Callithrix jacchus: one gene and its partners. The protein of the gene in region 1 interacts with the protein of each later gene in a biochemical or structural test. Links are inferred from orthologs where the notes say so. Each region holds a gene or a part of one and is shown in the gene's direction. Other genes may lie near its edges.

Region 1 (10,028 bases):
TAAGTGTCAGAAACTAAACAACTCCACAACTGTGTAGATCTTGTCAATGGTGTGAATGCTAGTCATGTTAAACCCATTTGTTGGGTCAAAGTGAATGTTGATAAAGGGGAATGGAAACTTGAGTTTGGAATTATGATGAACAAAGTCTTCTTTTACTTTCCTAAGTTGCACATGCCAAATGGGAAGCATCTGGCTTTCCTCTGTTGAATTAAGTCCAAATATGCCCAGATAACTTGGCCATTGAATATTTTAGTTGAAGAGTTTCAATTTTAAGTTCAGTCATATGAAGCTTTCATATTGGTTTTTGGCAGACTTGGTAGAGAAAAGAATGCTATGGACTTGGGAAGGATAAGGACATTTAAGTTTTGTCTCTAGGGCACCTTGCTATCCCTCCCTAACCACATGTGTCTTTACTGCTCTGGTGGAGAAAAAGAAATATCTCACATTGTGTCACTTTAGCTCACTGTCATGATGATCACTAACCATCATTTCAGCATTATGACCTTTGAGGCAGTTCAAATTACACAGATGCTTGTGAATCAGTTTATTAATGTATAATGAAATATGTTCTCCTGTCTCCATTCCTGAAGGAGCAATATTATTTATATTGCCAATATTTTAAATTTAAAAAATCACTTAAATTTATTTTGTACTATTTTTGTAATATATTCCCCCCCCTTTTCCTTTTATTTAGCATTCCGAAATAAAAGAAAAAGAAGTAGGAATGAAGAAGCATGAAGAAAATGAGGCTAAACTTACCATGCAGATTACAGCATTAAATGAAAACTTAGGCACTGTGAAGAAGGAGTGGCAATCTAGTCAACGGAGAGTTAGCGAGCTTGAGAAGCAGACGGATGACTTACGGGGTGAAATTGCAGTATTAGAAGCAACGGTTCAGAATAATCAAGATGAAAGGAGAGCACTACTGGAAAGGTGATTAATAGCTAGTAGAATTAGTTTATTTCCATTGTAAGTGATAAAAAGATTATCATATTCCATATTTTTTAAAAATAGAATCTTGAGAAAAGTACATAAGCCTCTATAGGAATTTAAGTAGCCATTTAAAAATTAACCTGTAAAACAATCAGATAGTGGAAATTAATATATTTACAATTACTAAAGTTGTCTATTATCTATACCCTAGAAGAGTCTTTAATGATTTTCTAAAAAATTAATTACCTCTTTGCAATCTATTCCAGATGTCTTAAAGGAGAAGGTGAAATAGAAAAGCTTCAAACCAAAGTGTTAGAATTGCAAAGAAAGCTGGATAATACAACTGCAGCAGTGCAGGAGCTGGGCAGAGAAAACCAGTCACTTCAGGTCAGTCATCTATGGTTGTGAGGCAGCTTTTTAGTCTAGAGTGACTTCTTAGTGCAAAGCATATTTTTAACTTGTAAAAAGTCTCATGTTTTATAAATACTTTCAAATAGCTACTGTCTGTGTAGCAGTATTGTAGGTTTTATGGATAATGAAATATAAAAGAAAAGAACTTGTTTCAGAGTCCTCAGAGATTCATTAGAAAACCGTGTCATTCACCAATTGTTAGTATGGGGAGAGAACTACAAAATTCAAGAATACCAAAGAATAGATGAGTCAGTATGTGTTAAAGAAGTGATCTGAGAATATTCTCAGAGTCCTCAGGAAGGATTCATCATTACCTTTAGAATGGATCAGAAATCAGCAAACATTAGCAAGATGTTTCAGGAATAATATTCAATTAATTTTATTTTGTCATTCAGATTTATGACTATAGCTACTTTTGACAATTGAAGCTGACCAGTTGTATTTCTGGTTTTTTAAAATTTTAATTTATGGATTATATAATCAAAACTTTATAGAATTCTGGCATCCTTTAAAATGTTGAATATTATAATATATTGATACTTTTTTTTAAAAAAAACAGATCAAACATACACAAGCGTTGAATAGAAAGTGGGCCGAAGACAATGAAGTACAAAACTGTATGGCCTGTGGGAAAGGCTTTTCAGTAACAGTGAGACGGGTAAATGAAATTTTCTTCATGTAACTATGTTTCTGGATTTCATTTGTCACTGAAAATTAATTAATATTTCAACCATCAAAACAATCCTTCATTTGACAGAACAATTTTCTACTTATCAGTAAACTTTACCAGCAACATAGAATAACTAAACTTCATGCAGTCTAGCTTCTGGTTAGCATATATGTTAGAGTTTTACTTTTAACTTCAGTCTTTGTCTTCCAACTTAGTTACTGTCTGGAACAATCAATTTTGAACCAGTGTGCCAATATTAAACTCATGTTTTAGTAATCAGCAGGTTCTTAAAGGAAGAAAAAGCAGAGATTTTTAAAAAATATATTCTAAATGCTACCATTGTGTTATGATTTAAGTTTATATTCCTATTGAAGACATTAATGCCTGAAACATTTGGCAAATAGGAATAGTTTTTCATTTGATAGGGATACTTTATAAGAACTTTTTAAATGACTCTCTGGTTCTTTTGAGAGTTCCATGATAAATTCCATGTAAAATATTTACCATAGTGTTTGATAAATAGGAAGCATTCAGTTTAATTATAACAAAGGGATTAAATTAACATATTGAAACATTATATCATTAACTAATATATCAATGACTTGAAAGCTAATATACCTTCACAGTGTAGTCGGTGATATTTGTGTAGTTTCATAATACTTTTGGTATAGTTTTTATTCTTGAAATTGTTTAATTTTTGTTATTTACAGCATCACTGCCGACAGTGTGGAAATATCTTCTGTGCTGAATGTTCAGCCAAAAATGCCTTAACTCCTTCTTCCAAGAAGCCTGTTCGTGTCTGTGATGCATGTTTCAATGACTTGCAAGGATAATGGGTTATCATGACTTCAGAGTAATATTACACTAACATTAGATTTTTAATAAATGTACTTAATAGAGGTCTTGGACTACTATTTGATTTGGACACTGGTTGCAATACTAGACCAAATAGGAATTCATATATTTTGGAATGTTACGGATATCAAGTAAAACTCTTCTATTTTTGTGAGACTTGGGCTTACCATCTTTCACTACTTTTTTTCCATTTAGCCTCATGGAATAGCTTTCATGCCAAGTTTAGAATTAGCCAATGAAATGTAAATAAACTTTGGACAGAAAATAGCAATGTATTTTTTTAAATATAATTTCATTATTCACAAATGAAGAATGCAATTCCATAGCTTATTTCTTTCTCCTAAATTTAATGTGCAGAAATGTACATGGATGATATCACTTGTTGCTGTTTTTGTTGCACAAGAGCACATTAATTATATTAAATATTCTCTTTGTGAAGTCATGCACAGAACTATAACACTTTCCTGCTATCTTTTTCTATTATATATAGGTTCATAGCTCAGTTGCATTGTTATGTTTAAAATTTACTACTTAGGTGTTCTTAATACAGTTTATCTTAAAATACAGTGACCATGAATTCAAAAATGGTTTTTGTTTTAACAATGTTAATTAAATTCTCTTGGGTGGATTTTACGAAAACGTCTGTAAAATCAATTTGCTTACTTACAGTTATCTGGGGTCGTATTTTAAAGAATAGGGTTAATTTTTTTTTTTTTTGGTCATTCTCTGTCTCTCTCTTAAACTCTCACATACTGTCCATTTAGAATCTTAGAAAGCTTCTTACCCTTGCCTTCAGTTCGAGGGTGAATAATAAACATTGTATAATGTTCTTATTCTCGGTTTCTTGTAAGTGAGAAGTCTTTTGAAATCAGCCTTCATATCATACCCTTATTTTGTCTCTCTAGTTTGCTTTTTACAAACTCTCTGAGTTTGCGTTTTATACAGATCTGCTTTTTTCCTTTATTTGGTTTAACCTTTTCAATCATAGCTCAGCTTCATACATTTGTTTCATAATTTTGCATCTTAAAGCTAGTAACTAATATTGCTGTGGTTTTGTCTGTGAAAACAAGATATAAAATGGTAAGAAGTCATGAAGTCATTAAATATTTTATTTTATATTTTTTACCTTATATGGAAGAATTTTTAAAAGTTGTAAAATTGACTAAAGGTTAAAATGGTTCTGAGTTTGGTGTTCCATATCAGCTGTTCCCAGTTTTACTTATAATTTTGCAAAAATAATGTTGTGAAGTTCCCTTCAAGTAACTAACAGCTGGGAATAGAGTATCACCAAAAATAAATATATTTAGGAATCCCAGAGTTACAATAAAAACTGAAACAGCATGGCTAAGCACCTTAAGGTTAATTAAGAATTAGCTTGTTTGTATGCTGAACAATGGAATCAAACTTTAATTTAGCATAGTCTTATTAATTTGGAAAATTGTAAAACATCGCAAGAGAGAAGTCGTTAATATTGGTTTATTAATCTTTCTAGAGAAGAAATGTAGTTATACATTCATTCAGTGCAGTCATTTTATAACAGTAGTTCATATTTCATTTATAATGAATAGTTTATAGTATACATTTGCTTTCAAATATTCTGAAATGGAATTATCATATTTATGCCATACTTACAACATATATAAACTGTAAGAGATCACTACATATTTGTTTAATTATTTTTTTAAAAATTTAAGTAAACCCTGTCTGTTGTCATTAGCTATTAAGAATACTGATTAAGTCCCTGGACTTGGATAAACATATATCCTTGAGCATATATAATGAAGAAATACAGTGGCTCTTTATTAAAAATAATAGTTGGATAATATAAACTGAACTATTTATGCATTTTTATATACTGATAAATCCTTCCAAATAGTCTTAATTCTATACTTTTACATATAAATAACTTAGTAAGTATGCTGGAAAAACACAGATGTTCAGCAGTACTGTTTTTTGTTTTTGAGATAATAAAATGCCATGAAAAATCTGGATTTGAATATTTGTTCACTTTATCTCCTAATGGGATGCCCTGCAGGCCTTCTCTTTGTCTCCCCTTTACCCCTAACATAGTCACCAAAAAAATTGTAAGATGACAAGTAAACCATATATAGATGTTTGGATGATTTTTAAAATTTTTATCTAATTTCATTTCATAAGTCCTGAATAATTTGCCTACCATAGGCTACTAATACTGATAATATAAATGAAACCTAACATTTTTTTACTACTATCTCTCCCCAATGTAAAGTGTTTTGGAAACAAAAATTTAAATTTTTTTCCTTTTAAATAAAAAATCATCTTTGGAGTCCCTATTGGCTATAGATTTTAGATGTTTGCTGGTACTATTTATTTTTTCTCAGTGAGTTAGAGCTGGCATGCACAGCTCTTGGCTTTAATGCAAGACACATTGGCATCACATTAGTAAATTCCAAACCCTGGCACAGAATGTAAGTTAAAATTAAGTCTTGCTGGGTTAGTGTACAATAAACTATACCTACAGACTTTTTTTTAATGGAAAGTAGACAAAGCTGCTGGTATAGGATTTGTTCCTTTGAAGAAAACATGAGGGAAACAAACACAAAAACCTCAGTGCAGTGTACAAATAACATTTTGTTCAACTACCTCTTATTGTGGAAGTAGCTACGTTAGTATTTCCTGACAGTAATGTTAAATAGTAACTGCCAAATTTGTTTATTTTCCCATCTCTCTTAAAAAGTCTTCATGATTATTTTATATAGTTTTGAGAACTTTAAAGCCCCCTTTTTTTAAACCTCACATTTGCATAAAAATGGTTAGCTTTTAAGTGGAGAGCAAATTATGATCATATATTTTGATATTCATGACCTGTTTGACTATAGAAGTTTTTTTTTTTTAAATGCACTTTGGCTATAAAACCATGGATGATTTGATTCATAAGATTTAAATGTGCCACCATTATAGTATTCCTAGACATAGCTTGATGAATGGTATTCTGTAATTATAATGTGCCACACATTATCGTGTCTTAAATGCCCTTTGCCTGAATTTTAATGATCAATTTGTTATTGTTGCGGATGTGAATATTGTGCATAAACTTACTAAATTTATGTAAAATTGTGTAAAATAGAACTAGAAGTCACTAAGTTCTTTCTGTGTAGAAGTAATAAATTTATTGTAACACGATGCAGTTGTGTATATGACATTCTGTAATTCCTTGAACTGGAACATACATTCATAACTTCTATATATACTTTTGCATGAACATTTTCTCATTTAGTTTTTGAGTTCATTATTTGTATTGTGTTTACTACTTGTGATCATGTAGTTGTGCCTTATTTTTGAGAAAGGTTAGCTCAGTAAATACTGCAATTTCTAGACCCAGTGATTGGAAGGTTAGTAATTATAAATGTCACTGATAAAGTACATGACACCATTTAAGTCTGTATAAAATACAATGGAAGGATCCTTATTGAATTGTTGCTTTTGTTTTTTTAATATGTTTAAAGATTATATTAAAAAACGTTTCTTTCTAAAGTATAGATTTATTCTCTGACTATAAATTGTTTTGTCTGTTTAACAAAAGAGAACACTATCTTAACCATTTTGCATTATTTATTTACAGAATATTAGGACTTTGCACTTGGATGTAGACAGTGGTGTTTTAATGTTGTTTAATTTAGAATAGTAAGTTTCTGATCTTAAGAGAAATTATTAATGCCATTTTGCTTTAGACATTCCATTTAATATTATAGAGAATTAACAAAACTAAAAAGAAATATAAAAAATACGTAATTAATCCCTTATGTCACTTTGTATCTGTGTTTAATACCCAGATGACCATTTAAAGATACTTTAAATATTATTTATTTATTTATTTATTCTCCCTCCCCTCCCCAAAGATACCTTTTGAAGGCCCAGTGTGCCATTGTTTTCACTATTTTTTCTTCCTGGAAACCATGGTTCTAGAATGGTTTTTGTTCCTCCCCCACAACCTCTTCATTCAAATATGCTAATCTTCTGAAGAGTTTAATGTGCATATCCTCAAGCATCTAATATATTGTATATTAGACGTGTTATTTTGTGAGCTTTATAAAATTTCAGTTTATGTACAGTGTATTCTTGAACTGTTTTACATATTTTGTTAATGTCAGTCTTTCTATCCCTTTAATGAGATCCAGAGGGAGAAAACTACCTTTATACATGTAAATCTGTGGTTGCTGGATTCATGGAACTCAAGGAATTTGAGACCTCACCTCATCCTAGTTGACTGCTTACCTCCTAGGTTGGTTTATATCTAAAAATGTGCAAGATGATTGTTAATTTAAAATTTTTTTTCAGCCAGAAATTTCTTTATAAAATCTTCTCTTGCATAAACCTATATTGTCTTCTCCTGGACATAACTGCTTTCAATCCCATCCAGATGCCATCTCTAGGAATTTGCTTGAAGTCCGTTCTCTCCTTCTTTGCTTTTCTCCCCACCTCATTTATTCTTAACTATTAATAATAGTTACTGCCTCCCAGATTTTCCTTTTATTTTCTCTTCTATTAAATGTCTGACATTATTATAAAGAGATTATTAGTCTCCATTCTAATCATGCTTGCCTTTTACAAAAGCCTTTTGCTGCACTTGGATTTACTGCCTTGTTTGCCTGGTGAAATTTTACCTTTCTCAAAGAATTACGGTGCATATGACTTGCCCAAATATCATCCTCTCTATCCCATTCTTCAGCTTAACAAAATCAACTAAGGCTTCAGTTGTCTTACAGCCAAATTTGATAAATTTACTACTTCCACTTTGCAAACTGCAAAAGGTACGAGCCTGAAATGGAAGTTTGTGGACTTCCATTTGATACAATATTCGGACCTTAAGAACTAGTTCCTTGAATATAGTTAATAGTATATATCCTGCCATGATAATAAAATAATTCTTCAAAATGCCTTTCTTGATAAAAATTCTGAAGAAATTTGAAGTCCTGCCAGATAAATTTAGGTGATCAGAGGTGTGTGTGTTCTGTCACACACACAAACCTCCAATCAAAACCAGAAAGGATTTTTATGGCAAACATCATCATTCTTCCAAAAATGAAGTTAAGAGACAGATATTTTACTATGTGTATGAAAATCTGTACACTTCACAACAGGCCAAGAAAAGCTGTGCAAAAGTATTAACTGGAAAAAGCCAGATTTTCTTCCCCCCTCATCTTAAAGTAATGGAATTCAGTCTTTGGGGTTGTCTACTTCCAGGTTATAGTATTATAAAGTTTACCTGAGATGAGTTTGAGAATAGGAATTTCAAAATTGCTGATAAAATGTAGTCCTTCTTTACTTCTTTGTATATTAAAAGAATAGTCAAGCTTTGTATCTAAAGCGTTAACATTGTGTTTGAGGTAGGACTATAAAGCAGTAAGACTGATTGAAAAGCCATGAAGGAAAATTGGTTTCATTATTTTATAGATACACACAAAGTGAGATGCTGGAGTGCCAATTGGACACAAGCAGTGGACATCGTTTTCCTTCTGATACTCCGTTTATCTGATCATTCACCCTTTACAAATTAGCACCTTTCTTCACTCACACCTCTTACAAACCTGACTGAAACATTAGAAGGTAATCTGGATGTCAGTACATACTTGTCAAGAAATTCTGCAGGGTTCAAATTCGTTGCAGTCATTATTCCTCTATACTGAGGATTTTCCTAGCTCAAATTTCCAAATTCTGGAACTTCTTTAAAATGCACATTTCCTTGTAGCTCATCACTAGCTAAGTGTTAACAAAAGTTTGAATGAGATAATACGTTAAACACTAATCTTCTAAAAAGGCATGCCACTTGTTTTAGGTTCCTAAATTTCAGAGGATTCTGTGGGCAATGTGAATAAAGATATTTTCTTGGTTTCCTGATTCCTGGTAAAGCAAGAAATTGCTGTTGTTATTTGTGCCATCCATGTTTTCTGTTGAAAAAAGAAAAATATAGAAATAGAGATTAGAATGTTAAGCTGACAATTTCTCACATATTGGACTAATATTTTCTGCTATATTTATTGACCAGCTCTTTAAAACTGAAGACTAATGAAATATTTGCATATGTTTTCCATTTTCTTTCTTATATCTAATATACTTCTAATCATATAGGAAAATGCAAATGGGCTAAATGAGTATGATATGCAAGTTGGATAACAGTTATGAGTAATCAAGAAACCATAATAGTAACTCATTAGAAAAATGAGTACTGAGAATATATGTAGTTTGAAAGTGACATTGCTGGAATTTCTATTCTCTGTGAAAACAAGTTCTTAACCAGTGGTATAATTTGAAAGAGACTGAGGGCAGTGACTCAGGAAATGGAATATTGCATTTATTGTCTGGCCATATTGTGGCTGTGATGAAAGCCTACCAGGGGAAATACAAAAATAGAAACTTCTAGGAGAAATCAGAGTCAGGCAGCTGCTCTTTCAATTCCATAGCTGTAAAAACAATGGCAATTTTTCAAAGGCTGACAGGCTGACTTGACACGGATCATTATTGCAGCAGGCCCTTCTTACACTAATATCTTATTATTTGCACTTTGGTAATTGATTGGAGCATCTTAAAAGTTCATCATCATGCAATCCAAAGCAATTCGTACCCCATTTCCTACAGAAACTGCAGAACAGGCAGCTCTTGAGCTTCTGCAGCAGGAGTAAGGGTCTTTATGTCAATTCTGCAAGTGTGAGGAAATTGTCAACACTGAGACTTTGCAGCATTATATGGACTAGATGTATCCCTCCCCTCCTCCCAAATCTGCCCTTCCCAGGTGGATGAGGGAAATACACAAAACTTTCCATTCACTGTTATTTAAGAGGCTTGGGGTGAGATTTTTCTTTATGTAAATGCTGAAGAATCAAAGACCTACAAAGTTAAAATACATACCTTGATGTTTTCTGTTTGGGCTTGTAATAAGAATGCTGCTATACACTGTCGATATCTGTTTTCATGTTGTATAAGAAAAGCATTTCTCAGCCCAAAGACTAGAAGAAGATATTACAAAGACAAAAAGCCAAATCATTTCATATGAAATTCAAACAATTTCTTAGTACAAGAACCTGGGGTTTGTTTTCTATTTAGCTTGTTTTTGTTTTTAACAAGGGTGGGAGTTTCATGTAGATTACAGGTTTTTAAAAAAATTTTATTTCAGTGTCAAGAC
Region 2 (9,912 bases), on another chromosome or scaffold:
ATTTACTGTAAACAGCTCTATATATCTATGTAGTATACACATTTCATTTAATATCTAAGTAACATATATTCTTGTACACCATTAAGTAGATCCAGTAAAGATACCCTGTCTTGCTTAATCATTCCCTAAATGTTAGGAGATTTGAGTTACAATTAGTGCAGCAATTCTCCCTGTACCTCCATAGAGATAATTCTATTTTGTTTCTCTAATGCATTTGTTTATTTTTCTGTATATGTGTTTACAGTCAGACAGGCAGCTTTTGTTTACTTCTCATCTTTGTGTATTATTCTTCAAAAAAGGATTTCCTGAATCAAAAAACACGATGAGCTTTATGACGGCTCCTGGCTTTTGCTGTTGGAGACTTTATAGCAGCAGAGAAGTTGAGGTCTGAATTAGCACAATGACCTTTTACTTTACAAAATTCTCATAAGAAAAACTTGCATGTTCTGTTTTTTAATTTGATAAATTGTCAGTTATGTATCATTGAATTTTTATCCCTGCTGAAATTATACCAGAACTACATATTTGCAGAAAATTCCAGAGGAGTCGGGATGGGCCCTTAGTGCATTAATCCATAGATTGTAACAATAGAGTACATGGTACTTTAAAAAAATCGAGAGCTTTCGAGAAATACTAAAAAGGCTGTTTAACTGACATTGCAGACACTATAGTTCCATACATAAAAAAGATGTAATTACGCAAAACAAGGTTTGTAAACCTTGACCTGTCACTCCTCTGACCTGTCACTCCTAAAATATGTCTCCTAGCAGTCATCTTCCGGCCTTCCTGGGCCAGACCTTTATGGATTACCTTAGGGTGATGATGGGGACCTGGTTTTCATGAGGCCATGTTTAAGTTCAGGGGTGACCTGGCTGGGGAGAGGGTATAAACCCATGAACACAGTCTAGCTGACAGACGAGGATTGCAACTTTGTAAAGAAGAACCCAAGGCCTGATCAGAAGGAGATGCAAATGAGGTCATTTTTAATAGAACTAGGAGTGGGGAGGACAAATGGATTGGGGTTATTCTCAGAGAGAAAAGGCCTGGATAGGGGACTGTTTTGGGAGAGCCTAGAAACCACAGAAGTGTCCCAGACATCCGGGCTATAGTGGAGAATAGAGTGGAATGAGAGCGGTCATGAAAAAGAGCAAGGGAACACAAGAGAAATTTGGTTTGCTTATTTCTTTCTTTCTTTCTTTTTTTTTTTTTTGAGATGGAGTTTCGCTCTTGTTACCCAGGCTGGAGTGCAATGGCCCGATCTCGGCTCACCGCAACCTCCGCCTCCTGGGTTCAGGCAATTCCCCTGCCTCAGCCTTGAGTAGCTGGGATTACAGGCACACGCCACCATGCCCAGCTAATTTTTGTATTTTTAGTAGAGACGGGGTTTCACCATGGTGACCAGGATGGTCCCAATCTTGTGATCCACCCGCCTCGGCCTCCCAAAGTGCTGGGATTACAGGCGTGAGCCACCGTGCCTGGCTGGTTTGCTTATTTCTCTCTAGGCACGGTTCTGCCCTTAGCAACCTAAGGCAATTTCACAAAGCCCCACTCAATGCACAGGATGTAGAACATGGCAGAAGCTTCCACTCTGGTTTGACTGACTTTTGCGGACTGAGCTGGAAAGCCAAAAGGACACATTTCAGTGTGGACATCCAAGTCTTAGTAGGTGTGGTGAGGGCTGGGAAGGCCTTGGAGAAGTAAGTAAGTGTCTTTGCAACTGTGTAGCTATGGTTTTCTGATTAGCAAATCTGAGGACAGGGAGGTATTGTGACCAGGGCTGTGTGATTCTGGGCAAGCCTCTTTTGACCCTGCCCACATGGAAGACTCTGCTTTGGATACAAAAACAAGGCGGGATACTGATACAATGGACTCTAACTTGTCCATGGCTGCCTTTTGAACAATTTAGTACATTTGAGTAACCTCCGCAAGCCTGCATCTCCAAGGCAAAGTTCCTGCTCTTCTGGGGAATTTACTTGTGAATTGTCTGTTTTGTGTCCCATTTTGACTCCAGCATTCCAGGACTCATCTTTTTGGAAGCCTTGGTTTGGAATTTCCCATTGGATGGGGCCACTTGGGTGCTGGGAAGCTTCAACCTGGCTTCTGTAAGAACAAAGCCTCAAGGGTGGTCTGCTAGGAGAATGGAAATGCCATTGATTAAAATTGGAAGGTTAGGAGAGAGGCCTGAGTTTGGAATAGGAGATGAAGTTTTAAAAAATCAGTTTTTAAAACAACCTTTCTCATCTGAAATGCCAGTGAATATTCAGACAGATTACATTGAAAAGGCTGCCATTTCTGTAGCAGCAACGAATGAAGTCATCTGAGTGGATGAGGTGCACTAGGCCATACATGGAGAAAAGAACGGTTACCCAAGCCTCCCCTGACTGTGTGCGGCCACAGCCTCTTCACATTTCCTAGTTAGGAAGGATGCTGGGGTCTGCTGGGATCTCCATGTTTCTACCTGTACTTCAGAGGGCTGGATTTCTGCCTTGTAGACAAGTCGCAGGATTTGCTCTACTGAGAGAGTTTTTCTGCAGAATGCAAGTTTCCTCTTTCAGACACTGATAGCTGGTTTTGCTTCTAGAATCATTTTCAGCTACATACAGAAAAATGAAATTGGCAGAGCTGACGGAAGTTTGGGTATTAGGAACGTCCAGAAGGCAGGCTGAAAAGTTAACCCCTTCTCTTCACCCCTGTCCTCACTGCGGCCCCCTCAGTGGCCTGACTTCTGCCTGGGACCCAGAATGTCACTTGAGGATGGGACTACCCGCAGACCTCCAAGCGCTCCTACACAAACAGCAAACGGCGTCGGCCGACCGCATCCGCTTTTCAGATGAGAATGGCATCTGCAGGGACCCGCTGGTCCTGGGGCCAGGTCTCCGCAGGGTCTGTCCCGTCCTTCCTTCCCACTGGGACTCTACGGCCAGGCGGGGTCGGGAGAGCTGATGCCGGAGGGCGCTGGGGGAGCCTGGCCCGCGCGGGGCCGGTCCGAGGGCGGAGGCAATCCGCCGGCGACGCCGCAGGTCCCCGGGTGGCTGACGCCGTCCGGGGGCGTTCCTGGGAGCTGGGGGCCGGCGAGCCTGGACCCGACGCGCCCGGGAGGAGCTGGCTGGCGGACACGTGACCCACCACGGCGGGGCCAGCGGCCCAGAAATAGCAGCGGCGGCGATTCCACCCGTTGGCTGCGCGAGCGAGGGACCCAGGCGGGAGACGCCGGCGGGGCGCGGGCGCGGCGGCCCCGGAGGATGCTGCTGAGCCCCGGCCTGGTCCGGCCGCGAGCACATGATGGCAATACGGGAGCTCAAAGTGTGCCTTCTGGGGGTGAGTCCTGGCCGCCACCCGCCGGGGGACCCCGGCCCGCGTCCCCGCGCCCCCTCGCTCCCCTTGACCCCGCGCGCTCAGTCCCCGCGGTCCCCTTGCTCTCCGCACCCCTTTCGTAGCTCCCGACCCCTCTTCCGCGCGCCCACCTGGTTACCCGGGTCCCTTCGCTCCCCTAGTCCGTGCGTCCCTTGCTCTCCGCACCCTCCTTGTTGTCCACGTCCCCCTCGTCCTTGCGACCCTCGGGTCCGCCCCCGCTCTCGCCCTGCGGGGGTCCGGTTGGAGCCTGCCCTGGGCTTTCCCCGCTCTTTCCTCTCCGTTCCCGCGTCTCCGGATCCGCGACGGCCTTGCTGGGACCCTCGGCGGGGACCCGGCAGTGGTATCGGGTCTGGGACCCCGAGGGCTTTCTCCTCCGCCTTTGATAGTTTCCTTCCGGCAGAAAGTTTAAGTTGCTCGGCCAAATCGCTGAGTCCTCTTTTGCCCCCTTTTCACTTAAAACACAAAAATAAAACCAAAAGCGAACCCAGCCAAGGGGGTGAAAGCCGAGGGCGCGGCTAGGGTGGAAGGTGAGGCAGTGACTTGTGTGGAGCGCGTCCTGCAAACTTACCTGCTGCAGATCAAAGAAGCAGGCTGGGAAAGTCCTCCCCACCACCACTCCTCCCAAAGTGAGGTTTTCTCAGCCCGAAGAAGCCTTAAAGCCGCCAGAAACGAAGAAGCAGTGAATCCGGGCGGCCCGGGGACACAGGCAGGGGACCCGGCGAGGACGCAGGGGAGCCGCTGGCGAACAGCCCCTGGGAATCCAGATCAATGTAAGGTCCCTTCCTTTCGGGGGCCCACATCGCATTCCAGAATTCCTTCTTCTAAAAGAGGAGCTGGTTCCAAGGGCGTTTTCAGCAGCCTTTGGCATGGGCGCCTGGTGTACCCGCCCATGTCGTTGGCAAAGCTGGTCTCATGAAAACCATTTCCTAAAAAAGAGCAGCGAAAGGGTCGCATTCTTGTGCGAACTGATCTGTCAAGATGGGGGTACAAGAACTGTAGAAAGAGGAAATGATTTAGGTGAAGACTGAATTGTGCCAGAGTTTCTAGGCTTTCTCTAGGTTTTTCTGGAACCTTGGGCAGGACCATGTTCTCTCCCCTAGCTCCCATCACCGGCCTCTGCCAAAACCATCCTTTACCCTAACTCGATTGTCCAGTTGGTCTAGAATTCCAGAGGATCTGGGAAGGCCCTGCCCTCCCTGGTAGTCCCTGGAGATCCCCACCTACCCCCACTCGCTCAGCCACAGCCAGGATCTAGTCTGGTCTTTCTCTGTTGCCCTATTGGTGTTGCAGAAGTGGATTTCCCTGTTCCCCAGGCCCTCTAATATAGTCCAGACAAACATTCTTGGAATCCCATGCTTCCCTCTTGAGGAGCCATTTCGGCCTCCGGGAAGGCCTTCAGAGAGTTAGAAGGAATGTCATGTTCCAAGGAATGAAGAGGCAGCCTTGATGTGTGCTGTTTGTCAGGATTGGCCTTGGGAAAAATGAAATAGGACATGTTTTTGCCTCTTTTTCTTAAACTCTTTCTCTTGTCTTTTACTGAGGTGGTCTAAGCCCTGCCCTATTAGAGGACCCCTTATTTTCAATTTTGGTATTTAGGGACAGGTCTCTATATCCTCCTGCCAGGACACTGATCAAGTGGTAAGAACACTGTGTCAGGAGGCAGGAAACCCAGGCTCTCATTCTTTCCCACCAACGAGCTGTGTGGTTTAAGCAAAGCAACTCAGTGGCCTCATCTATGAAATGGGCATAATAACATGTTTCCTCTTAAGGCAGAGAACTATACCAGATGATCTCTTAAGACACATGCTACCATTTCCTACTAACATGAGTTCAGGGTGGCAATTAGCAAACCTGGAAGAGGAGGCAGCTGGAGGAAATCTCTTTACTTCTTTTATCTCCAAGAATGAGACACTCTTTGAGTGACTTCCTGCAGGCGGTGCCTTACCTTTGCCAGTTCTGTGGGTAGGAATTTGAAGCTGGAGTTGGGAGAACCATGCCAAAGCAGAGAAAGAAGAGGTTTCTGGGCAGGCGGAAGGCTTTGAAACATCAGTCATGCTGGGCACAGTGGCTCACGCCTATAATCCCAGCACCTTGGGAGGCTGAGGTGGGTGGATCATTTGAGGTCAGGTTCGAGACCAGCCTGGCCAACATGGTGAAATCCTGTCTTTACTAAAAATACCAAAAAAACGTTAGACGGGTGGTAGTAACCCATGCCTGTAATCCCAGCTACTCTGGAGGCTGAGGCAGGAGAATCACTGGAGCCTGGGAAGCAGAAGTTGCAGTGAGCTGAAATCGCACCCCTGCACTCCAGTCTGGGTGACAGAACAAGACTCTGTCTCAAAAAAAGAAACATCAATCATATCACACCACAATTGTGGCTTCCTTTTTTCTTGAGGGTGGCTGTAAGTTTCAGTTTGATTGAAGTCAGAGGACATTTTATTTGAAAGGCCAAATGACCTTTTGTCCACACTAAGTAAGATTTGTTACATCCCCTCGTTTGGCTATCTCTTGTTTGGCTATCTCTTCCGTGGGTAAGATGTGCGCAGCAGGCCGGCTTTCTAGCTACTCGTCCAATTAGGCTGGTTCTCTGGGTGGGAACCAGCCTAATTGGCTCCATTTAAGGGAGATCAAAGCCATTTTAACTGTCTTGGGTTTACTCTCTTCTCTCTCTCTTTTTGTTTGGAGACAGTGTCACATTCTGTCATACAGGCTGGGTGCAGAGGTACCATCATAGGTCACTGCACCTTCCAATTCCTGGGCTCAGTGGATCCTCCTGCCTCAGCCTAGGTTTATTCTTCTGATTGGAGAGACCCTGTGGGTCAGTTAGTGCTCAGTCCAAAAGTCCTTTAAAAAAATATGTATGTTTTTGAGATAGGGTCTCACTCTGTCGCCCAGACTGGAATTTAGTGGTGCCATCACGGCTCACTGCAGCCTCAGCCTCCCAAGCTCAGGTGATGGTCTTACCTCAGTTAAGTAGCCAGGACCACAGGTGTGCACCACCCAGCGCAGCTAAACTTTTGATAATTTTTGTAGAGACGGGGTCTCCCTATGTCGCCCAGGCTCTTTCAACATTTTAACAGGAACCCTGGGCTCCTTTGTTCTTTTCATAGGGAGGTCTGTCTCTTCTGGGTGAAGTTTTGCGTGTCGCTGGCACTCAGCTTCCTGTTTTTCAGCCATGAGGCACCTCCCTGAAGTCTTGATAGGACCAAGATCCTAACAACCACACCTTCTTTGTCCCTGTTTGAATCACTTTCTGTTGGGTTTCTCTTAGAAGCTGATAGAGAATGTAGACTTCATAACAGAATCTCACTCTCTCACTGGGAAGGCTGAGGGGCTGGTCTTTTTGTGCCTGGTCCTGTGCTCAGTGAGGACTTGGGGATGTGCTTCCCATTTGAGGTACAGGTTGGTTTAGGCATGGGCAGTGAGAACTTTCAGCACAGGCTCCCTGCTGGTCACTCTTTGCTGTAGTCTCCTCCTCCATCTACGGGGTCAGGGGTCTTATCTCCTGACATTAGAGTCATTTGCAGGAGGTTGGAGTGAAACTGGGCCAGGTGCCAAGTCTTCTCTACCTGAACTTTTCCTGTCTTCCTGGCATGTTAGGAATGTCTGATCTTACTTCTTTTGGTGAATGCTCCCACAAGGGATGGACAGCGGCTTGTGGAACATTCTCTGAATGCTTTTTGTTCTTGGAAAACCAAAGACTGAAGAGCATTGGGTTTGTTTATGTTATCTGTTATAAATCCTTGGCTCACATTTCATGTGTGGACTTTCTCAGGTTTATTCCACATGGGGATAGCGCAGCAAGCATTTGAGGACGCCCTTTCCTGGCCTAAGCCCCATCACCTATGGAAGTCAGCCATGCAGGAGGGTGTGCCTGACAGGGGAAAGCACCGTGGGCAGGACCCCATGAACCTCTTTCTTACCAGGAAAGTGTCATTCGCCCCACTTTGTGATCTGAACCTGTATTATGAAACATGGAGCTTAAAGGCAACACCCTTAAAAACAGCAAAGTATGTTACAAAAAAAAAACTAACGAAAACAATATTGAGGCAGCAGCTGCTTCAACCCCAAAGGTGGAAAGTTTCCCAGTATGCATTTTTAACACACATCACCATGTGGCAAGAAGCAGGAGGATGGAAGAGAGTGGGGAGGAGGAGAAAGAAAAGGAGGGGACCTTTGTTTTGTTATTTCCTTGTGGTGTTTGTGTGCTTGCACTTAAAAACGGCTTCCTGATGGAATCCCAAAGAGATTTATATTTGGGCTCTGGTTGCCTTGACAACAATTTAGAAATTTCTACCACTTCCCCAGTAGCTGAGTGAGTAGTTAGAAGAGCCGAGGGCTTTCTTGATTCTGGTAAGGAGCTTGTTGAAGCATCTCCTCGTGATCTTTGTTGGAATCTGTGTGGTGGTTCATCAAAGAGCAGCCAAATACCTTTGATTTGGTGAGACATCTAGGTAATGGGGACTTTACCTGTGTCCAAGGCCTCCACACAGAAGGCCTCTTGTCTTCTCAAGGACACTAGGACTCAAGAGTAGAACAGATTTATACTCGCATTAAGGCAGATCATCAGAGCTGTGCAACCTTCCATGGGTTGCTTTGAGCGCGATATGAGAGAGTATTCAATAAATCGACAGGAATTTGTTAGTGTTATTGTGGAAGGAAGGAATGCACTGGATAGTGGGTTGGGATAGTAATGATCACATTTGCTCTCCAAGTCTGAGATTCTAGTAACTTACTATTTTTCTTACCCCAGGGACTGGCATTTCTTGGGGAGGGGGGATGGTGTGGAGGGTGGAGTGGCATTTATTTCTTGGCACACCTGATTCGTTTATTAAACTGAACCATTTGTGGAAAGTATGTTCAACATTGGTGACTCTGGGTAGCTGCTGTGTTACATGAGAATAAATATAAATGATATAGTGGGATGTCTTCCCAGCAGTGCCTGGCATATGGCAACGCTGTGTCTTATGCACCCAGCCAGGCTCATGGGATCCATCAGGGTCCCTTTGTTCCTTTTTTGTTCAGGGTCAACATTGCTGCTTTCATCCTCCCTGGGCTTTCAGAGCTCAGTGCGTCCCTGGTGTGTATATCAGAATCATGTGAGGAGCATTTTCAAGCTTCTCATGGTCTCTTCCCCCATCCCTTGTGTCTTAATTTGAACTGCTGTCATAAAAATACTATAGGCTGGAGGGCTTAAACAATAGACATTTAATTCTCAGACTTCTGGAGGTTGGGAAGTATAAGACCAAGGTGCCGGCAGATCTAGTGTCTGGTGAGGGCTCACTTTCTGGTCTGCAGACAGCTGCCTTCTTTTGGTCTTTGAGTCTCTTTCTCCTCTTATAAGGACACCAACTCCATTCATGGGGGCTCTACCCTCACAACCCAAGCATCTCTCAGATGCCCATCTCCTAATAGTCTCACATTGGGGGTTTAGGCTTCAAAATGTGAATTTTGGTGGGGAGACACGAACATTAATTCCATAGTAGCTTGTCAATAGCTTTGAGGCATGTGGCCCTTACTTTTGCCCTGGTCCAAAGTCTGGTAGACTACACTTATTTGGTGTTTGCATGCTTGTGCAGATTTTACACTTTCATTTGTCTTAGTTTTTATCATGTATGATATGTGTTTGAAAATGGAATAGGTATTTGTTCATTCAGCCATTCACCATTTGTGGAGTGTTTCTTTCATGCTGGAAGCTATGGTGCAGGTAGACGAGACAGCAGTGACTGCTGCCTTCCCGAGGACAGGAACACACCAGCAGTGAGCTCTGTCGCATTGACTGGATTCTGATTATGGTACTTACCGTGGCCCACCATGCAGAACAGAAGTAGTGTGGTCTGCTGATGAGAAATACTGACTGTCATCTCACTTATTAGACATGATGGCGTGGGAGGGACAGAAAGTTCTTGCTCCAGCTCTGTCTTGGGTACCTGCAACGGCTCAGTGCTGTGCTAACTCTGCTAGAGACAGAAAGTAGGTCAGGCAGGGATCTGGTCCCTGCCTGGGATGGAGAGGCTTCTGCTTGGTTCCTGTGCCACATGCACAGGAGCACGGCCCATGCTGATGGTTGTGATGCAGGAGGTGTTGCGTGTACAGTGGGAGATGGTGGGAGTCGAATACAGTGGGGGCTACGAAGTGGGGAGCTAGGGAGATTTCTTGGAGTGGGAAGGATTTGAACAGTTCCTAAATGGGTGAGTAGGGCTTTGACAGGGAAGGAAAGGTGGGTGTGTACCCTCCAGGCCCTGGTAGGGGTTCAGGATCATACTGTATTTTCTGGCACAGTCCCTCCTCTCCCAGCCTGTCCACTCTTCCGTTGACACTCCGTACTCTCTGTCTCTCTAGCACTGGGTCTTTTATTTTTAATTCCCTTTGCCCCATTTTTTTTTTTTGCTAAAAATTTAAAACTTACACAATAGTTGAAAGGACTGTGAATGTGCCCTAGATTCAGCAGGGATAACATTTTATCACTTGTCCTTTGTCTCTGTTTTTTTTTTTTTTGAGATGGAGTCTCACTTTGTCATCCAGGCTGGGGTGCAGTGGCGTGATCTTGGCTCACTG
Region 3 (9,828 bases), on another chromosome or scaffold:
GACCCTCTGGGACCCTCTCCAATGCCAGAGGCCTCACCCTCAACCCCAAGCCTCATGAGGCATAGTTTCCAGTCCAGGTCAGACACGTTCCACTGACCCTGGCCCAGGGCCCAGGCCTGTCAGGGGTGGGCGCTGCTGCTCACCATTCTGGGAGGACCTGGGCCCCTTGGCCTCCTGCCTTAGGGGTCAGCAGCCACCAGCTGGCATGGTTGGCTCTGGATTTCTGGACTTATTAACCAAGCCTGGTTACCTCTGATGCTATTCCCTTTTCAAAGCCTTCCCCAGCCTCCCCCTCTGTGAGGGGAGCCACCTGATGGTCATGGAACCCAGCAGGCATGAGACGAACTGCAGTGCCCATTGGACTGGGCAGATGAGATCCTACTTTCTCCCCAGGACCTGGAGGCAGGTAGAGATGGGGAGCAGAGGGGACGGGCAAGGGACCCATCTCCAGCCTAGGACATGAAGGCAAGACCAGGCAGGATCATAGCAAGTGAGACAGGTTGCAGGATTTAGCCTGGAGATAGCTTAGTGATATTGTGGGGTCTTCTGTCTCAGCCCCTGGGTCTCTGCTGAAGACCCTAAGAGCAATGTTACTGCCCGGGTGCGGTGGCTCTCACCCGTAATCCCAACACTTTGGGAGGCCGAGGCGGGTGGATCACCTGAGGTTGGGAGTTCAAGACCAGCTTGACCAACATGGGGAAACCCCATCTCTATTAAAAATACAGAGTTAGCCAGGTGTGGTGGTGCATGCCTATAATCCCAGCCACTCAGGAGGCTGAGGCAGGAGAACCACTTGAACCTGGGAGGCAGAGGTTGTGGTGAGCTGAGATCGCTCCATTGCACTCCAGCCAGGGCAACAAGAGCAAAACTCCATTTCAAAAAAAAAAAAAAATTAGCCAGGCATGGTGGCGCACGCCTATAGTTCCAGCTACTCTCGAGGCTGAGGCAGGAGAATCACTTGAACCCAGGAGGCAGGGGTTACATAGATTGCACCACTGTACTCCAGCCTGGATGACAGAGCAAGACTCCATCTCAAAAAAAGAAAAAGAAAAAAAAAGAGAGAGAGGTTATATAGGAATCCAGATATTCCAGTTTCTCTAAAAAATGTAGCACTGGACATAGTCGCTTATCCCTGTAATGCCAGCACTTTGGGTGGGAGAGGTGGGAGAATCGATTGAGCCCATGAGTTCGAGAGCTGCTTGGGCAACATAGTGAGACCCCGTCTCTATAAAAATATTTTTTGGGCCGGGCATGGTGGCTCACGCCTGTAATCCCAGCACTTTGGGAGGCCAAGGCAGGCTGATCACCTGAGGTCAGGAGTTCGAGACCAGCCTGACCAACATGGAGAAACCCCATCTCTACTGAAAATACAAAATTAGCTGGGCATGGTGGCACATGCCTGTAATCCAAGCTACTTGGGAGGATGAGGCAGGAGAATCGCTTGAACTCGGGAGGTGGAGGTTGTGGTGAATCGAGATTGTGCCATTGCACTCCAGCCTGGGCAACAGGAGCAAAACTTCATCTAAAAAAAAAACAAAAAAACTTTTTTGCCAGACGTGGTGGCTCACTCCCAGCACTTTGGGAGGCTGAAGCGGGTGGATCACAAGGTCAGGAGTTCAAGACCACCCTGGCCAAGATGGTGAAACCCCATCTTTATTTTAAAAAAAAGAGAGAGGGCCGGGTGCGGTGGCTCACACCTATAATCCCAGCATTTTGGGAGGCCAAGGTGGGTGGATCACAAGGTCAAGAGATCGAGACCATCCTGGTCAACATGGTGAAGCCCCGTCTCTACTAAAGATACAAAAATTAGCTGGGCGTGGTGGTGCGTGCCTGTAGTCCCAGCTACTTGGGAGGCTGAGGCAGGAGAATTGCTTGAACCCAGGAGGCGGATGTTGCGGCGAGCCAAGATTGTGCCATTGCACTCTAGTCTGGGTAACAATAGTGAAACTCCATCTCAAAAAAAAAAAAAAAGAAAAAAAAAGAGAGAGAAAAAAAATTTTTTTTTAAAAATTAGCCAGGTGTAGTGGTGCATGCCTGTGGTTCCAGCTACTTCAGAAGCTGAAGTGGGAGAATGACTTGAACCCAGCCTGGGCAACATAGCAAGACCCCCCCGACCTCCGCCATGCCCCAACTCTATAAAAATAAAAAATTAGCCAGGTGTAGTGGTGTGTGTCTGTGGTCCCAGCTACTCCGGAGGCTGAGGTGGGAGGATCACTTGAGCCCAGGAGGTTGAGGCTGCAGCGAGCATTGATCACACCACTGCATTCCAGCCTGGGTGATAGTGATACTCTGTCTCAAAAACAAAAAACCCAGGACATCTGGCTACCATGGGCCAACATTCCATCTGGCAATAATTGAAATCAGCAGGGGCGAAGAGGTGGCCACTGTCCTCCTTAATGGAATCTGCTCTGCGCCCTACTTCGCAGTCACCACTTGCGGTCAAGGGTTTCATGATCATCTCCCGACACCCGGCTAGATTCCCTCGTTTGAAACTTTTGTCTGCTCTCTGTAGGTATTTGAGTTCCCAAAACTTGAGTGTCCATCAGAACTACCTGAGATCCCATTAAAATGTAGATTCTGCCAGGATGGTGGCCCAAAAATAAATAACTAAATAAAAAGTAGATTCCTGGGCCTCACCCAATTTGGAATATCCAGGTGGAGCCCACGGGTGGAGGTGCAACCCCCGCCTCCTTACATAAGAGCCTGTTCCCAGGTCCCTGTGCCTAACAGGTGCTTTTGGGGCCCAGTAGTGTCTGCTTCTACTCCTAGGCATGAGTCTGGCAACATCTCTGTTTCTGTCTCTCTGCAGGCTGTCTCTCAGGCTGGTCTCTTCTGCTACTAGCAACTCAAAAATCCCTACAGCACGCCCTATCCCTCCCCGACCCCCAGACCTCTGCCAAGCCTGTTCTCCCCCATGACAACATGGTTTCATGCAAGGCCTGGATGGCTCCAAAACTCACCCAGGTCTCCAGCTCTTCTCTACCACCCAACATCTTGGGCTCACTTTTGGATAGAAAATAAAGTCTTTATTTTTGTAGTTATTGGCTCTGGGTATATCTGGGGGTTAGTCTGAGAGTCCCAAGGCTTTGGAGGAGCAACATAGCAATCACTCCCCACCCCTACCCCCCTCACCCCCCGCTGTACCCCAGGGCCCCGTTGCTATCTCTAGGAAGGATGGAGGCACCAGCCAATCTATTTGGCACCACATTCACACCACCAGGGGCCCCAGAAATGAGGGAGAAATCTTAATTAATCACTATGGGCCTGTTATATTCCCTTCTCCCCTGCACCTCAGTCATAGCCACATAAACACACAGTATGTGGGAAGAACAGAATCCTGGCTCAGGCCCACCCCCAGCCTTGGAAGGGTGGGCCCAGGGGACTACCCATCCCTCCTGTGTAAGGAACTGTTGCAGAGCTGGGTATGGAAGCGGGGCTGGGGGGAAGAGCTAGCCTGTCAGCAGCCAAAGCCTGCTAGGAATCCCACTCCGCCCCATCCACTCTGTCCTTCCAACAAGCCAACAAGCCCTCTTCCCTCTTCCCTTTCACTTCTCTCATGATCACCTGCACTGGAGTGGGGATTGTGTGTTATGGATGTAAGAAAGAGACACCCTGCTGACCAGATGGAACTAGATGTGGGCACAGTTTTGTGGCAGGTTGTCCCAGAGAGGTCGATTCTCCAGCTGAGGCTCCAGGATATGCCCGGTGTTGGCCAGTACTAGAGGCACAATGGTCACAGCTGTCTCCAGTGAGCTTTGATTCTACACAGGTTTTCAGTAGTGTCCCTGGAGGGTAACATGCAAAGGAAGAGGAGGTACTAGTCTGTGTTGAGAGGTAAGGGTGGGCGGAATCAGGAGCTGGCCGGATCCATATTCAGAGGAGCAGAAGAAACAAATAGTCCTGATCCATATGGGGAGGGGCAGAGTGGGGGTGGTTCTAGTCTTTATTTTCAGATGGAGAGGTCCGAGCCAGAGGTTATCCAGCTCTACATTCCGCGTCAGAGAGAAGAGCTGACCCTGGCTGGGAGCAGGGGAAGGCAGAGGCGGAGATGGTCTTTGCGCCGGCCCCCCCCCCGACACACCAAGTAGGGGGTGGTGGCAGAAGCTCTCCCTTTGATCTCACTCAGCATCCTGCAGAGAACCTTTCCTACAGCCTTTCATCGCTTTCATCGCCTTCCCCATCACAGAGGCCCCCAGCAATCGGGCTTCCCAAGCTGACTTGGCCGGAAAGCGCAGACAGGGGCTGCTCCAGATCAGCGAGTTCACAGGACTGGTCCACGCAGCCTCGCGTGCATATTCATTCGCACCATGTTTTTCCTTTTCCAATTCTGCACACACAGTCCTCTGCCTTCTTCCAACTCTCCGCCACTCGCCTTCCCTCGGGCGTCCGGAACCGGCGGTGACGCGGGTGGCAGGCTTGGCCTTAAAAAGTTCCCGGCCGTAGGCCGGGCACGGTGGCTCTGGCCTGTAATCTCAGCACTTTGGGAGGCCGAAGAAGGCGGATCACCCGAGGTTGGGAGTTCAAGACCAGTCTGGCCAAGATGGTGAAACCCCGTCTCTACAAAACATACAAAATTAGCCGAGCGTGGTGGTGCATGACTTTAATCCCAGCTACTCGGGAGGCTGAGGCAGGAGAATCGCTTGAACCCGGGAGGCGGAGGTTGCAGTGAGCCGAGATCGCGCCACTGCATTCCAGCCTGGGAGACAGACTGAGACTCCTCACAAAAAAATAATAATTCCCGGCCGGGCTCCGCCTCGCAGTCAGCCGGCTCCACCCTAAGCCCAAATCCCAGGCAGCCGCCAACTCCTCCCAGCGCTGCGAACTACAAGTCCCGCCATCCTTCGCGCGCGCCCTCCAACCACTCCCGCGTTTCTACCGGAGCCGCTGGATAGGTCGGCCAAGAGTGCCTTCCATTAGTCCCTCTACCCTGTCAATCACCTGGGTAGTATTGAGGGGCGGGACGGAGGTGGAGATCCGGATCCGGAGCGGCTGAAAGGCGGAAGTGGAGGCCGGAGCCTGGGACACCGCCGGGGGGGGGGGAGAGAAGCGAAGCCTGTCCGAGTCCCGGCCCCAAGTAACGCTGCCGTCCCGGAGCCGCCGTGAGTATGCCTGTCCCCGAACCTGGTGTCTCGCCTGCGTTGAAGCATCTCCAGGGCAGCCCTTACTCACCACCCAGCCCGTTTAGGGGGATAATGACCCCTCCCCCGACCCGTAGCCTCCTCCTAAGGGGTTCCCCAGGCGTCGGGCCAAAGGAGCGGGGGAGCTTCTTTCTTTAGCTTACCTGCCTTTCGTGAGCCTTAAGGAAACTCCTATGACTGTTCTCTGGCCTGTCCATTCCAGTTGTGGGAGAGAGGAACCCTAAGTTCCGCTCGCCTTGCTCCCAGAATCGAAGGATCTTTGCCAGGTGTGAAGGAACCTGTCCTTCTTGTCTTTTAGAAGTGACAGGGAGTGCTGTCTGTCGCCGTTTTCCTTCCTCCTGTCCCACGAAACCAGTTGTCCCCTCCAGCCCTAGAGGAATATGTCGATTTCCTATGGGGGAGGGGGTCGTCTGGGTGAGACCGTTCCACACGCACAGAAGTGTATTTGCGCTTCCACAACTCCTTACTTCCCTCTTTCCTCAAGCCAGAAAACCAACCAGGACCTCAGTTAAAAGTCTGGGTCATTTAGTAGGAATGAGATGTTTTCTTGCTTTGCCCCTTCTGTCTCCCTGCCCTATTCTCTAGTTATGTTGTTCTCTGAGTGTCTCTCTCTTTCTGCCCCTGAAGAATTTAGCTGAGGTTTGCTCAATCCTAGCTACAGATCACAGATCAGGGTGGATATGCCCATTCATTATCTTCTCTCCCCTCCCCCCTTGCTCCAGGCTCAGCTCTGTCCTCCCAGAGCACGTGAGTAGTTTTCAAGCCTCCTCAAAGGGACTGCTTCTCCCGGGACTGCTGTCCGTGTGTCTATAGGCAGGAGAATAAGACCCAAAATGAGGAGTCTGGAGTTGAAGAATTATCTCTTTCCCACTTCCAGACACACACACATAAACCACCCTGAGCAACAGGTCCACACCGCGCTGGTATCTAATCCCTTCTGGGCTTGGACTTATTACTGAGGACTAAGTCAAGATCCCACTGGCAGTTCTGGGGTCTGAATTGTAGCCTGAAGAATTCCCACACATGCCAGAAAATGCTGGTTCCCTCAACCGTATGGACTGTTGCTTGGGGCTTAGGTGTGTGAAATAGCTGCTGTCTCTGACCAAGCTTTGTTATGTGGCCAAAGTACAGGCCCGAGACTGTACCTTAATGAGGAGTAGCCTGTCTCTGAGGCCGTGACTGACCCTTGCTATCTACAGTGGATATGTAGATAGCAAGTGGGATAGATAGTGGGAATGTCTGTAGCTCTTCAGTTTTCTGAGCTACCTTTACCACCCTCTCGTGCTGCTTAAAAGTGCTGTTTTTTGGTATTGAGGTGTTTTTGAGTACTTCTGGACAGTCACTAGTGTCTGATTTCTCCAGTCTTGTGAGTAGACCTAGGACTTATTTCACCTTCCCCCAGCGCCCCCACTTCCCCCCTGCTGGAGTGCATTGGCCCCATCTCAGCTCACTGCAACCTCCACTTCCCAGGTTTAAGCAAATCTCTGCCTCAGCCTCCCGAGTAGCTGGGATTACAGGCGCATGCCATCATACCGGCTAACTTTGTATTTTTAGTAGAGACAGGGTTTCACCATGTTGGCCAGACTGGTCTTGAACTCCTGACCTCATGATCCGCCTGCCTTGGCCTCCAAAAGTGCTGGGAGTACAGGTGTGAGCCACCGCACCCAGCCTACTTATTTCACTTTTTATTGGACAACAGAAGCCTTCCTTATTAGGGTCAACAGCTGGATCACAAGCTCTTTATCTGTGTGGGTTCCTTGGGGGCTCATTGGAGACTTCTTCAGCCAATCTAGTTTTTCTGATCTGGGCAGCCTGGGCATCTGAGGGGCAGGGTCAGAGAGGCCTGACTGCTCACTGGCCATTGGTCTCTGACCAGACTTACGTCTTCAGGAGTGGACCATGGTTTGTCAGTCTTCAGGAGTCCTGGGATGAGACTGACCAGCCTTCTGAGGAGACCTTTTTTCCTTTGTCTGGACATGCTCTTCCAGCTCTGACTCTGAAACAATTTTTTTTGGTTTGTTTTTCTTTTGAGATGGAGTCTTGCTCTGTCACCGAGGCTGGAGCGTGGTGGCATGATCTCTGCTCACTGCAACCTCCACCTCCTGAGTTCAAGGGCTTCTCCTGCCTGAGCCTCCCAAGTAGCTGGGACTACAGGAGCGTGCCACCACGCCAGGCTAATTTTTGTATTTTTAGTAGAGATGGGGTTTCGCCATATTCGCCAGGCTGGTCTCGAATTCCTGACCTCAGGTGATCCACTCGCCTCAGCCTCCCAAAGTCCCGGGATGACAGGTGTGAGCCACTGCACCCGGCCTGAAATGACTTTTGAAGGGGAAGCTCGGCCATTTAGACAGACGAGGAAGGCCCCAGTGCTTTGGGAGAGAATGCAGCTGCTTCTGGCATCCAGAAATTATAGTCCAAGCAGAGGTCTGACTGCTTGGCAGAAAGCTATGGCTCTGTGTGTGACAGAAACCCCTCCTTTCTGATGCTGTTCCTCTCCTGCCCTCTTGCCTCTCATGATTAGTGGGCTGTTAAACTGTAGAGGGGCAATAACACTAATTTTTAAAAATCATTTTAAAGTTACAAAGTTATTTTCATACATATTCCTCACAGGTACCCTGGGAATAGTGGGGTTTGTTTCCCCACTTGTTTTTAATTTTTGTTACTTTTTTCTTTTTTGGAGTAAGATAAGGCAAGTATGTGTTTCTGCTTTAGAGAACATGCTAAAGGAACTTAAGTAGCTTGCTTAAGGTCATACATTTAGAAAGTGGTAGAGCTGGGGCTGGGATTTGGGGTCAGATGTGACCTTATCTTTTAATAGTGGGCCTTCTTTGGCCTGGTTTGTTTGCTAAATGAATGAACATGCAGGGTGAGTGCGCTGCACCACGAGGGCAGACTGTTAATCCTTTAGCCCTCCTCATCACTGGCACAGCTCTCTTCTCATTTTCTTCCCCCACCTCAACCCAAACTCCTGTCTTCTCTCTTGACCCCTTTCTTCTCTGCCTCTGAGGACCAAGACAGGAGTCCCAAGTCAGTCCTTTTCAGGGCCAGACAGTTTGCTGACATCTGCATGCCATTAATTTTTTGGGAACCTGAAAGTCTTAATGGCTAGAAAATGAAAGTTAAAGTGAGTGAACTCAGGGGTCCCTCTGGGCAGGGTTGAGGGGGAACCAGCAGAGGAGGCCTCTGATTAGTCCTCTGTTTCCCTGCTGGTACTGCCTGCTGATTGCAAGTGGGAAGAATGTGGCTGGCCACCAGGAGCTCTGGTCATTAGAATTTACATGGAAACAGAGCAAGATTATACATTTTTTGTTTTTGTATTTTTTGAGACAGAGTCTTGCTGTTGTTGCCCAGGCTGGAGGGCAGTGGCACGATTGGCTCACTGCAACCTCCACCTCCCAGGTTCAAGCAATTCTCCTGTCTTAGCCTCCTAAGTAGCTGGGATTACAGGTGCATGCCACCACACCTGTCTAATTTTTGTATTTTTAGTAGAGATGAGCTTTCTCCATGTTGGCCAGGTTGGTCTCAAAACTCCTGACCTTGTGATCTACCCTCCTCGGCCTTCCAAAGTGCTGGGATTACAGACATGAGCCACTATGCCCAGCCAAGAGCATACGTTTAAATTCAGCCCACCAGGCAAGTACTTTTTTTTACTTCCTGCCCTTCCCCAGGAAACAGGCAGTGTGGTAGGGTGTAAGGCACTAGAACTTTGGAGGCAGTTGGACCTGAGTTCTCATCCCGACTCCCCCACTTATCAGTTGTGTGACCTTGGGCTTGTTACTTGACCTCAATGAGCCTATGTTTCTTCCTGCTTTAGAGAACATGCTAAAGGAACTTAAGTAGCTTGCCTAAGGTCATGCATTTAGAAAGTGGTAGAGCTGGGGCTGGGATTTGGGGTCAGATGTGACCTTATCTTTTAACAGTGGGCCTGTTAAGGTCAGATGTGACCTTATCTTTTAACAGTGGGTAAAATGGGGATGCTAGATACCTTGCAGAATTAGAAACAAAGAAAGAAGCTAGTCCAGTGCTGGCAGAGACTAGAAAATAGCTTTTGCCTCTGATGGGTAGGTAGGGGTTTGAAGGTAAATCATAAAATCATAATTCAACGCCAAGATTCTTTCTTTATTTTATTTTATTTTATTTTATTTTTGAGACAGAGTCTCATTCTGTCGCCCAGGCTGGTGTGCAATGGTATGATCTCGGCCCACTACAACCTCCACCTCCTGGGTTCAAGCAATTCTCCTGCCTCAGCCTCTTGAATAGCTGGGATTACAGGCATTCGCCACCATGCCTAGCTAATGGGTTTTTTTTTTTTTTTGAGTTGGAGTCTAGCTCTGTCACCAGGCTAGAGTGCAGTGTGGGATCTCGGCTCACTGCATCCTCCGCCCCCTGGGTTCAAGAGATTTTCCTGCCTCAGCTTCCCAAGTAGCTGGGACTACAGGGGCATACCACCACGCCCAGCTAATTTTTATATTTTTAGTAGAGATGGGGTTTCACCATGTTGGCCAGGATTGTCTCCTAACTCTGGACTTCAGGTGATCCGTCCACCTTGGCCTCCCAAAGTGCTGGGATTACAGGTGTGAGCCACTGTGTCCGGCCCTAATTTTTGTATTTTGTGTAGAGATGGGGTTTCTCCATGTTGGTCAGACCTCCTGACCCAGGTAATCGAGACCAGCCTTGACACTGATTATGA

Evidence for each region.
Region 2: the proteins of EEA1 (region 1) and RAB31 form a complex in vitro, tested with the Homo sapiens proteins (2 studies listed by BioGRID). The link is inferred for Callithrix jacchus from reciprocal best matches to the Homo sapiens genes EEA1 and RAB31.
Region 3: the proteins of EEA1 (region 1) and RAB5C form a complex in vitro, tested with the Homo sapiens proteins (2 studies listed by BioGRID and IntAct, with this or other methods). The link is inferred for Callithrix jacchus from reciprocal best matches to the Homo sapiens genes EEA1 and RAB5C.

The regions. Positions count from the first base shown.
Region 1 is NC_133510.1:88,430,825-88,440,852, forward strand, and holds the end of EEA1 (early endosome antigen 1), read left to right. Parts: intron 1-694; coding exon 695-933; intron 934-1,199; coding exon 1,200-1,320; intron 1,321-1,903; coding exon 1,904-2,002; intron 2,003-2,724; coding exon 2,725-2,847; 3' UTR 2,848-6,382; downstream 6,383-10,028. Other genes in the region: PLEKHG7 (pleckstrin homology domain-containing family G member 7), read right to left, coding at 8,689-8,796, 9,755-9,852. UniProt on the Homo sapiens protein: Binds phospholipid vesicles containing phosphatidylinositol 3-phosphate and participates in endosomal trafficking.
Region 2 is NC_133514.1:53,217,890-53,227,801, reverse strand, and holds the start of RAB31 (ras-related protein Rab-31), read left to right. Parts: upstream 1-3,174; 5' UTR 3,175-3,279; coding exon 3,280-3,318; intron 3,319-3,922; exon of another isoform or gene 3,923-4,177; intron 4,178-9,912. UniProt on the Homo sapiens protein: The small GTPases Rab are key regulators of intracellular membrane trafficking, from the formation of transport vesicles to their fusion with membranes.
Region 3 is NC_133506.1:121,572,339-121,582,166, reverse strand, and holds the start of RAB5C (ras-related protein Rab-5C), read left to right. Parts: upstream 1-4,998; 5' UTR 4,999-5,099; intron 5,100-5,281; exon of another isoform or gene 5,282-5,741; intron 5,742-9,828. Other genes in the region: voltage-gated delayed rectifier potassium channel KCNH4, read left to right, coding at 1-77, 276-300. UniProt on the Homo sapiens protein: The small GTPases Rab are key regulators of intracellular membrane trafficking, from the formation of transport vesicles to their fusion with membranes.